Regions from separate parts of the Mus musculus genome. Here region 1 is reported to be linked to region 2. The links are microRNA targets in miRTarBase. Many come from high-throughput screens and were not tested one by one. Region 2 holds a microRNA gene; the other region holds the end of a gene's coding sequence.

Region 1 (4,234 bases), not on the chromosome of region 2:
TCTTGGAGTGTCCAGATCTCAGGTGCCATTGATTATGTGACAACTAGCCATGATCTGACAAATAGTGGTCGTCCAGGGAGAAATCACAAAATGGTTGAATGCATGGAAGTATGGCTTGGGGTGGAGCATGAAGGGAGAATAGAAAGGAAGCGGGGAGAAGAGGGAATACAAGTGAATGAGCCAGCGGTTTGTTGGGAACATAGGAGGAAAGATGGGCCCATGGATGCTCGTCAGAGAAATAGATCTATGAATGGGAGGATAGGTGGTGGATGGATGCATGCGTGACTCTGTGGATGGTTGGATAGGTGGGTTGGATGAATGAATGCATAGATGGGTGGTTAGCTGAATAGATGAATACATGGGAAAGTGTATGGCGGGATGGTAGATGGATAGATGGATATAGATGTATTGATGGATTTGGTAATGGTGGGTGAGAGTTGGTGTAATTTAAACTTCAGCTATAGAACCTACAGACCAGCCTTCCTCACCTCTCTCCTATGTTTCCCTTCTAGGTGGTGGGAATTTTTGCTGGATTTGGGCTCCTGCTCTTAGTGGCCTCCCCTTTCCTGCTCCTGGCCACACCCTTCGTGCTTTGCTGCAAATGCAAGTGCAGTAAAGGTGACGACGACCCACTGCCCACCTAGAGGATGGCACGACGCTGGAACAGACCCCTTCCTCGGGACGTGTGGCTCCCCTACCCCTACCACCCCTCACACTAAACATGTTATTTGCCTTATGTGCCCCATTGAGCTTCAGTGTCCGGCTTGCTGCAGAGATTTCAGGGATGGCGCCAGCAAGTGGGCAGAGGCCCGGGTGTGGTCTCCTGGGTGCTGCTGAGGCACGGGAGGCGGAAGTGGGTGGGGGCATCCCCTCAGAGTCGTTCTGTGTCTGCAGACCTGGCTGGAGGTGGCGTCAGCTGCATACCAGGCAGTCTCCTCCCCCTGGCCGTAGACTGGAAATGTCAAGTTTAAGAGACCCACTGGGACAAAGGGTCTCCTTGGCTTCCAGATGGCACTGTGGTGTCAAGAGAAGTCTTCAAGGATTAGACTGTCTTCAGCCAGCACCTGAATATCCGACTTGAGAAAACCACCCTGTTTGTGACAACTGTTTTTATTCCTAAAGGCATTTAGTAAAACCCTTTTTAGAAGACTCTCTCCCCCTGTCAACTGAGTAGTGAAAAATCAATAAGGTGCGTAAAAACCATCCTATGCCTTTTTTCGAAATGTGCATTTTATGAAGTTATAGATATAAATCTTTTCTGGCCTGACCATTTTATTCAGGAGCTACAGAAAGCCTTATGCACACTCTGTGTTTTTCTTGGAACCTGCTGTCATCAGTTTTTGAATGCTGTGAGCTGTGTACTGTTACCCACACGGGCCCCGTGTCATTGCATTTCTTTGAAAACACTGCTACATTTGAAGGATTATCTCTAGCTTCACAGCATTGCCCTTTGCCCCAGTTCAGCTCACAGGGCGCGTCCCTTCAGTCCTCTCTCCCGGGTGACATCAGATGCCTTTGCGCATCTTTAAACCGGATGTTCTCCTCTGAACTAATTTTACTCCGAGTGACTCTATTTTGATTCCATGCCCAACTTTTTAGGTAGGCATCAAGGAGACAGTGTCATCTATCTCTAGGGAACACTTGGAGGCTGGCTTAGAGCTTTCTGAAGTCTATGCATTGTTAAAATGTTTTAAGTAATTTGAAAAATCATGTGGCTCACACACTCTGAACCCTGCTAACCAGTTTGTTCTTGCTAGGTGAAAAAAGGAGAGAGAAAGAATAAAAAAGGAATAAAGGAAGGAAGGAAGGAAGGAAGGAAGGAAGGAAGGAAGGAAGGAAGGAAGGAAGGAAGGAAGGAAGGAGAGACCCTTCTGTTTCACTTAATTTTTCTGATGTGCAGAGTTTGTGAATTGATCCTTCCCTGGGCTATGTGACAGTTACATATCAACAAAGAGCAAGTTAGTAAGAAGACACAGGTATTCCTTAAATCGTCTCTGAAAATAGGGAGCAGTGCTTTCTCTCAGAGTTGGCTTTCATAGTCCAGTGTGCTTCCCAGGAGATGTAGAGATTTGGGGAGGGGGTGGCTGGGCATTTGACTACTGCAGGAACATCCTTAGGGGCTGTCTGTATGACTCTTCGTTTATGGGTCAATGTTAAGCCCTAACAGACACTCCCTGCAGGGCAATGGCATAATTCTCTTTATTTTTAATTGACAGTGAGTAACTGAGGTAAAACAGAACCACTGGTCTCTCATCCTCTGGTACTGATTTTCTTTATTAAGCTAAAGCCATTTAGAGTCTCAGTCCTCATCAAAACCACACTCAAAAAGTCCCCCTGGTAGTTGCAAATTACAGGTGTGACTTCTGCTGGGTGAAGCCTAGGTCTTGATGCTCTGTGGTGAGAAACTGGTCAGTAGCTGAGATTTGAGACCTCAAGCCTGCAGTTTGTATGAGATGTTATCCAGTCACCACCCCTTAAAATGCCTGTCAGGAATCTCAGCTGTCCTGGGCCCTGGCTCCTTCTTGCCTTGCCTTGATTGCTGCTGTCTGATTTGTTCAGTGACATTCTGTCTTTGCGGTGGGGGAGGCTGCAGTTCAAGCTCCCTAATCAAAGATGGGGTCCCCTTATGTCTAGGAGACTCCTCTGGATGTCCACACACCTCTGTAACCCCACCTGTGCTCACACAGCAGCCTATAGTGGGCTTCCTAAGCACATGGCTGGCACAAGCGGGAATTGTGGGGACATGGGCCAAACTGTATCCTGTCTGCCCTGAGTCTTTGTACACTTACTCAGTTGGCTTCAGTAATAAAACCTAACTTGTCCATTCCCTATAGAAACACCAGTAAGATCACGTTGAAATATATAAACTTATGTATTGTCGCCCGAGGGAGTCCTCTAAGTAGAGGTTACCACATGCGTTTACTATGGACATTCAGCTTGAGCCAATTGTGGTTTGAAATGCATATGCAACAGAAGAGGTGGCCCCCGATGAAGCTGGCCTCTCTGTCGGTCCTAAGAAGCCCGAGGGCCTCTGTGACCAGTCTCATTTCTGTTGCTCAGTGTGGTACCTCAGAACTGAAAATGGAGTTCCCTGAGACAGACTGTTTTCCTGATGGAAGAAGAGCTGGCCTTGTAGAGAAGGCTCAGAGTGGCGGGCTATGGGGCTGTTCCGTAAGACTTCACTGAGCACTCGCTGGTCTGTGGGTTATCCGCAGCTGACCCTGCTACAGAATCTCCCTGGGTGTGCTTATCTCTGCCAAATTCATTCTTGCACCTTGTGTCCTGGGGGATGAGGCGTCACATTCTCCCCCAGAGTGATGCCAGCAGTGGCTAAGTCATGATAGGTGTTCGTGGAGGACTGGGTGACAGCTCCTTGCAGGGACAGGGGAATTGGATTTCATGAGTTTCACTACCCAGAGTGTGGAACCAAAACTTGCCCACCCATCCCGCTTTCCTGCCTATCTTGAGGAGAGCAAATCTTCCCTATAGTTTATTATTTCATAAAGCAGATGTGAGACTCTGACCAGTTCCCCACTGAAAACAGTGCACGTGAGAGGAAGGATAGTGAGGCTGGAAAATTGGCTTCAAGGTGAAATTATCTTTTCCATTGGAATTAGAAAGGGGAAAGATTATTTTATGAGTTAGAAGAGAAGAGTTTCCCTTGGTAGTCTTTAAAGATTAAGGGATTAGAAAAAAAAGGGAGGACTTATTTTGTATACTTCCCAGATTTCCACTGATTAATAAATATACCTGTGAATATATATATGTAGATCACAATGAAATTTTCAAGGGAAACCATTTTGCATGTATACCGTTTTATGAAGGTTTCCTTAAATAAAATAAATACCAAAGCTTGTTTCTCCCTCACAATGAACCCAAACCCTTATGAAGTTAAATGAGGTGAAGAAATTTGGCTATTGCCAAAAACTCAACCAGGAGGGAAGGGCTTATGTTCAAACAATTACTGATGCCCTGTGACTAGGGGAACACGTCCTTTTGGTAGTTAAAACCCCATGGTCTCCAGCCTTCCTGACTTGTATAATCCTGTCTTCCAAGATCCCAGGGCCCTTCCGTTAGGTGTAGCTGTGTGCCACGTGCCTGACTTTTCTTTTGTACTTTGCTTACTTTGCCTTGGGTATATTTTAATCTTGTATAAAACAAAAATGCATGTGTCGGTCATGCGCACGTGCACACGTAGACATTCTGTATTTGACAAATGGTGGTAAGACCAAAA
Region 2 (4,562 bases):
CTATAAAGAAAAATGTACTGTCCCTGAAGAAAACTTATGCATTTGGGAGTGTCAGTAATTTAGGCCATATGAAAGAAAAGAAGCAATTTTGGAATTTTTTTTCTCATTGCAATGCTTGTATTTATGTGCAAATGCCTATACAAATGTTTGCCTGATAAAATGTAACAGGATGCAAGGAACTTCAAAAAAGGACTACAGTGGTTTCTCCAAAGCCTCAAAGTTTATGCTGGGACTAGTGACTTTTAGATGAAGAGGGAAGAGGAGGAAGAAAAGGAAGAGGAGGGGGAAAAGGGAAAAAAAAAGCTCATCCGCTAGGACAATTCTAAAACAAAACAAGTTCTCTAACATATTGTGATTGTAATCAACTTTCTACAGACTGATGACTTTATAGCTTTATTTCCAGAATGTAGATTAGCATAAGTAGGCCAAGTTCCTGTGTGTCACACAAGGAAGTAAACAACCCGATGAAGTAAGTCATAATAATGAATGCTATGAGACATGACTTTAAAATATAACACAGCCAAAACAAAAGCCAAAGGTGGTCACAAGGCCCTAACCACATACTGAGGACTTCTCTGAGAAGGGCATGCAGTTCTGGGGCACTCTTGGCACCCTTTCCACTTGTTTTCCTTAAATGGTGAAAATTTCAACCAAAGGAGAAATCCAAATTTAATCATGGCCAGATTAAACAGAGGTTTAAAAATGAACAGAGACAGTACATAGCAGCTACCAACCAGTTGGTGTTGCCATTTGGGAGGCTGCAGATGGCTGTGGGTGGGAAATGCCTTTACTTTCTTAAGCGATGGAGATGAGTATGGTGTGTGTGTGCTTGATGTTTTTTTCATACCCCTACCCCCCAACAGGGCTGTCTGTCATAGGCTGCCGGCCAGGCTTTACCACTTGCCCCCGAGCGTGGGAATCGGAGCGTCCTGCCGTTCACATCTCCTGCTTTCCGTTTAGCGGAATCAATTAGGCAAGACAGACCCTCAGATTCCCCACCCCCTTTCCATTTTTGTCAGGTCTATATACGTCCTAATTATTTCAGTTTGGGATGCCAGAGCTGTTTCCTGGATAGACCTGATCATCCTTAAACAAAAAGAGAGGAGGCGCACACGTGGGTTGTGGCGTAAATGTCACTTTCATTTCCAATGCTAGGCGCAGAGTAAGACAGAACATTTTTTTAACACTTTGACAAGAGGGGAGGCGATCTCGTCTCCATCATGTCTTTCTGCTTCAGTAGCTTCCTCAAGGAAACCCTCTTGGAACAGAGAAGCATCTGTCCTTGTATTTTGAATAGAAGAATAAAAATCAGCCTTTGCCCCCACCCCTTTTCCCTGCTAGCTCTAAGTCTTCGGTAGATATAAATTATTAACCTTCCAGTATAAGCTTTACTGAAAGTCTAACTTCACAGAATTTGATGTACACACCCAAATACATAGAAAGTTTCCAGGCACAAGCTTCAAACTTGGGGGAGGGGCCTCAGATAGGAACAGCCCAAATCTACATAATTATGAAATCATTTTTAAGCGAGGTACCAGACATCACTATAACAGCTTTCTAAGAAAAAAAAAGAAAAAAAAAACCTCATATGTAAACGTTTGCTTCAAAATGAACAATATAGAAAATACATGCATCGTCACCCGTAAAAAACACTACACAATTCTCCTCTCCAGTTGTACAAGCCCCTCAAAGCCTGGCCCCTTTAGATTTCAATATGCGTGTCACTTAATTTTCTTGCATCCCACTTTCAATCATAAGATAAAAAAAGTTAGATTCAATAAGCATTCCTGACCTTTCTGGTTTTTACTGTCTCTTGGTTGCAGTCTTTCTTTCCGGAACGTTCCTCGGTGACCTTGAAGGAGTTTTTACTTTCGGTTATCTAGCTTTATGAAGACCAATACACTCATACAGCTAGATAACCAAAGATAACAACTCGCTTCCCTCACAAGGCTGCCTTCCTCTGGCTGAACTCCAGATCTCGATCCTCTTTGGCTTTAGGGAAGCGTAGTCCTCCGGGGTACTTGCCGCGTTTAAGCTTCTCCTTTCATGTAAACATGACCTGGTTTCTGTCTTAGTGTGTGCGGCTAGAACATCCAAATGAGATCTGTTGCATTCAGAGTTTATTCCAAACTTTTCCCCTTCCAGCAAGTAATCTCCAGTATCGTTAGCCAACAATTCATCTATGAGTATCAGAAATTAAGACCAGAGACTAAGGTGCAGCAAGCTGTTGGGGGTGAGCAGCAGTGTCCTTCTCTTCACAGGCCTCTATTTGCATTGTAAATTGCTTCATTCTCACGGAAGATTCTTTAGCCTTCCTCTACTGAGATGTATAAAGCCATCGGCAGTTTCCAACGCTGGTTAAAGAGGAAGAAGGGGGAAATCCCATTCTATAGAAGTGACAGCTGATTCAAAGATCTGCTCCGGATCATTGGGTTAGGCATCATGATCTTTTTTACCAAGTGCAGGCAGCTTGATTGCACATATCTTGTATGTGAATGTTTTAAGGGAGATCCTCGATTTCTTAGGACTTCTAGGCGGGCAGAGCATGCCCTCTTGCTGGCGTACTGCTGCCCCGGTCTGAAAGAAGGAGAAAAGGGCCATCATTGGAGGGGCTTTCACCGCCAAATTGTGGACCAGCCCGGCAAGGTCAAAGGTTTGAGACTGCGGGAGACCAAGGTAATGATGATGTCATGAGAAATCTCAAGTACATGGTTATTGATATGCATCAGTGGTCACCCAACTGCCCCACGCCTGCTGCCAGGAGTAGCACAGGCGACGGCGGCGGCGACGGCGGCAGCGGTGGCGGCGACGGCAGCAGCAGCTTTGCAGCAGTCCCTATATTCTCAATCAACATTTCATCCACTAGCACTACGGACTGCTCCTTGAAAAGCAACCCGCGGCCTTTTACCTCCTTGGCGCTAGTGTAGATCGCTCTAATATCCAAAGAATGGAGAAAATCTCTCTCTAAGGATAGATAAAAGCATTTCAGGTCTGGGGAACTTCTTTGCCTGCATTTCTCTTCTGGCAGATTGCATAGGCAGGCAGATGGAAGGCACTTTACTATTGCTTAAAGCAGGGCCTCGCTTTCTGGGGCTGGGAATCAGCTCTGTTTTTACGCAGTGAGTCGATGGTTACAATGACAATTTGCTTTGGTGTTATGTTTTTAATGGCTTTACAGCTCAGTCATGTTTTCTATCTGTGTACCGTGGCGATAGGGCAGCATATTTGTTCTGTAAGTTCGAACTGCACGATCTAAACAGTGGGGCTTCTTTTTTAAAAATGCTTTGCATATAGAGTGTGTGTGGGGGTTAGCATGCTGCACAGGTAAACATTGCAGCAATAGTTTCAATGTTGTACACAACTCTGCTGTAGCAAAAATGCTGAGCCTTTGTCTACTGTTTTAACATAAATTTCACACTGGACAATAATGCACTAGACTTGCTTATAAAATTAAAATAAAAGTCTTGTCTCCTGAACATGTAGATCCAACACCTGGATGGGGAGGGAGGGAAGCTACCACACCTCCCTGGCCCCACCCACTCATATCCTTCTATCGAGAAGCAGAAGGTCATTTCATTAATTAATTAGCTTCATTCATTGTCTTAGGAGTTTTTAAAGTGTGACTTTAAAATCACTTCAAAGAATCCTTTTCTTTCTCATCCTTTATAATAGATAATCTGTCTAGCACATCTAATATCTAACATTCAAATCCCTCTCAACAAAATATTCATGGTAATCTACATAAGAAGCATGTTCTCTGTGGGTAAACATTATGGATTATTGTTCAAATTACTAATTATTTTTTAGTAATGTTGCTTTTCTTTAAGTTACATGCTAAAGGAGAATTAGTAATTCTAAATGTACATTGCACACATCACCTGTGCCTCACAATGCTCTCAATTCCATAATGTGTCTATTTTCCCCAGTGGCTAAAATACTTTTGGATTTATTAATTTTTTTGGAATAAAATTTTTCTCAGTAATTCACTAATTTATTCATTTAACACATAAATAAGAACCTGGTTATTTAATCACATACAGAGCCCTAAAATCTAAACTCTGTAAAGAAGAGACTGACAAGTTTTTTTTGTTTGTTTGTTTGGTTTGTGTTTTAATGATAGGAAACATCTCCAATGAAGAGTTTAAACATATCACACCAATTAAGATATGGCTTACAGCTTAGTAACAGAGATGCCAATTTGTCCTTATATTAATTTGTTTACTTTTATGGTAAGCATTCTGTAACTGGCTATTGAGAAAAGACTAAGATGTGGAAAGAGTTCGTCTATATTTCTCTTCAAATTATGAACGAGAAGTCAGAAATAAAATACACACGGACACTACAATCCAATCCTAAAGGCATGTTCATAGAGTTTTTGTTCATTCCTAAACCATATGGTCACAGCATAAACAACTCAGTGAAGCGCATGCCACTTCTGACATCATGTAAAAATCCTAATGAGCTTTGCAGCTTGGAAGATTAAAGAGCACCGTGGCCTTGCTTTCCAAGAACTAGCAGCAGAGTAATTAATGATTTGGCTTGTATTACATAAAATAAGCACG

Evidence for each region. Region 2 holds the annotated microRNA mmu-miR-9-5p (UCUUUGGUUAUCUAGCUGUAUGA, at 1,904-1,926, opposite strand). A microRNA usually pairs through its seed, bases 2 to 8, with sites in the 3' UTR of a target mRNA and lowers its output. Matches are read on the target gene's strand: a 7mer-m8 pairs with bases 2 to 8, a 7mer-A1 pairs with bases 2 to 7 and ends in A, and an 8mer does both.
Region 1: miRTarBase lists Rnf144a as a target of mmu-miR-9-5p. Seed matches in the 3' UTR shown: 7mer-m8 at 3,846-3,852.

The regions. Positions count from the first base shown.
Region 1 is chr12:26,307,068-26,311,301 of GRCm38, reverse strand. It overlaps Rnf144a (ring finger protein 144A), which reads left to right. Exons shown (of 10, transcript NM_001081977.2): 10 at 513-4,234. The coding sequence ends at 644. Among named protein-coding and RNA genes, the nearest start is that of 4930549C15Rik, 38 kb to the left of the region's middle.
Region 2 is chr13:83,736,185-83,740,746 of GRCm38, reverse strand. Mir9-2 (microRNA 9-2) reads right to left here and starts at 1,933; the gene lies at 1,862-1,933. C130071C03Rik (RIKEN cDNA C130071C03 gene) reads right to left here. Exons shown (of 4, transcript NR_152245.1): 4 at 1-2,577. Gm51268 (predicted gene, 51268) reads left to right here and starts at 1,871; the gene lies at 1,871-1,926.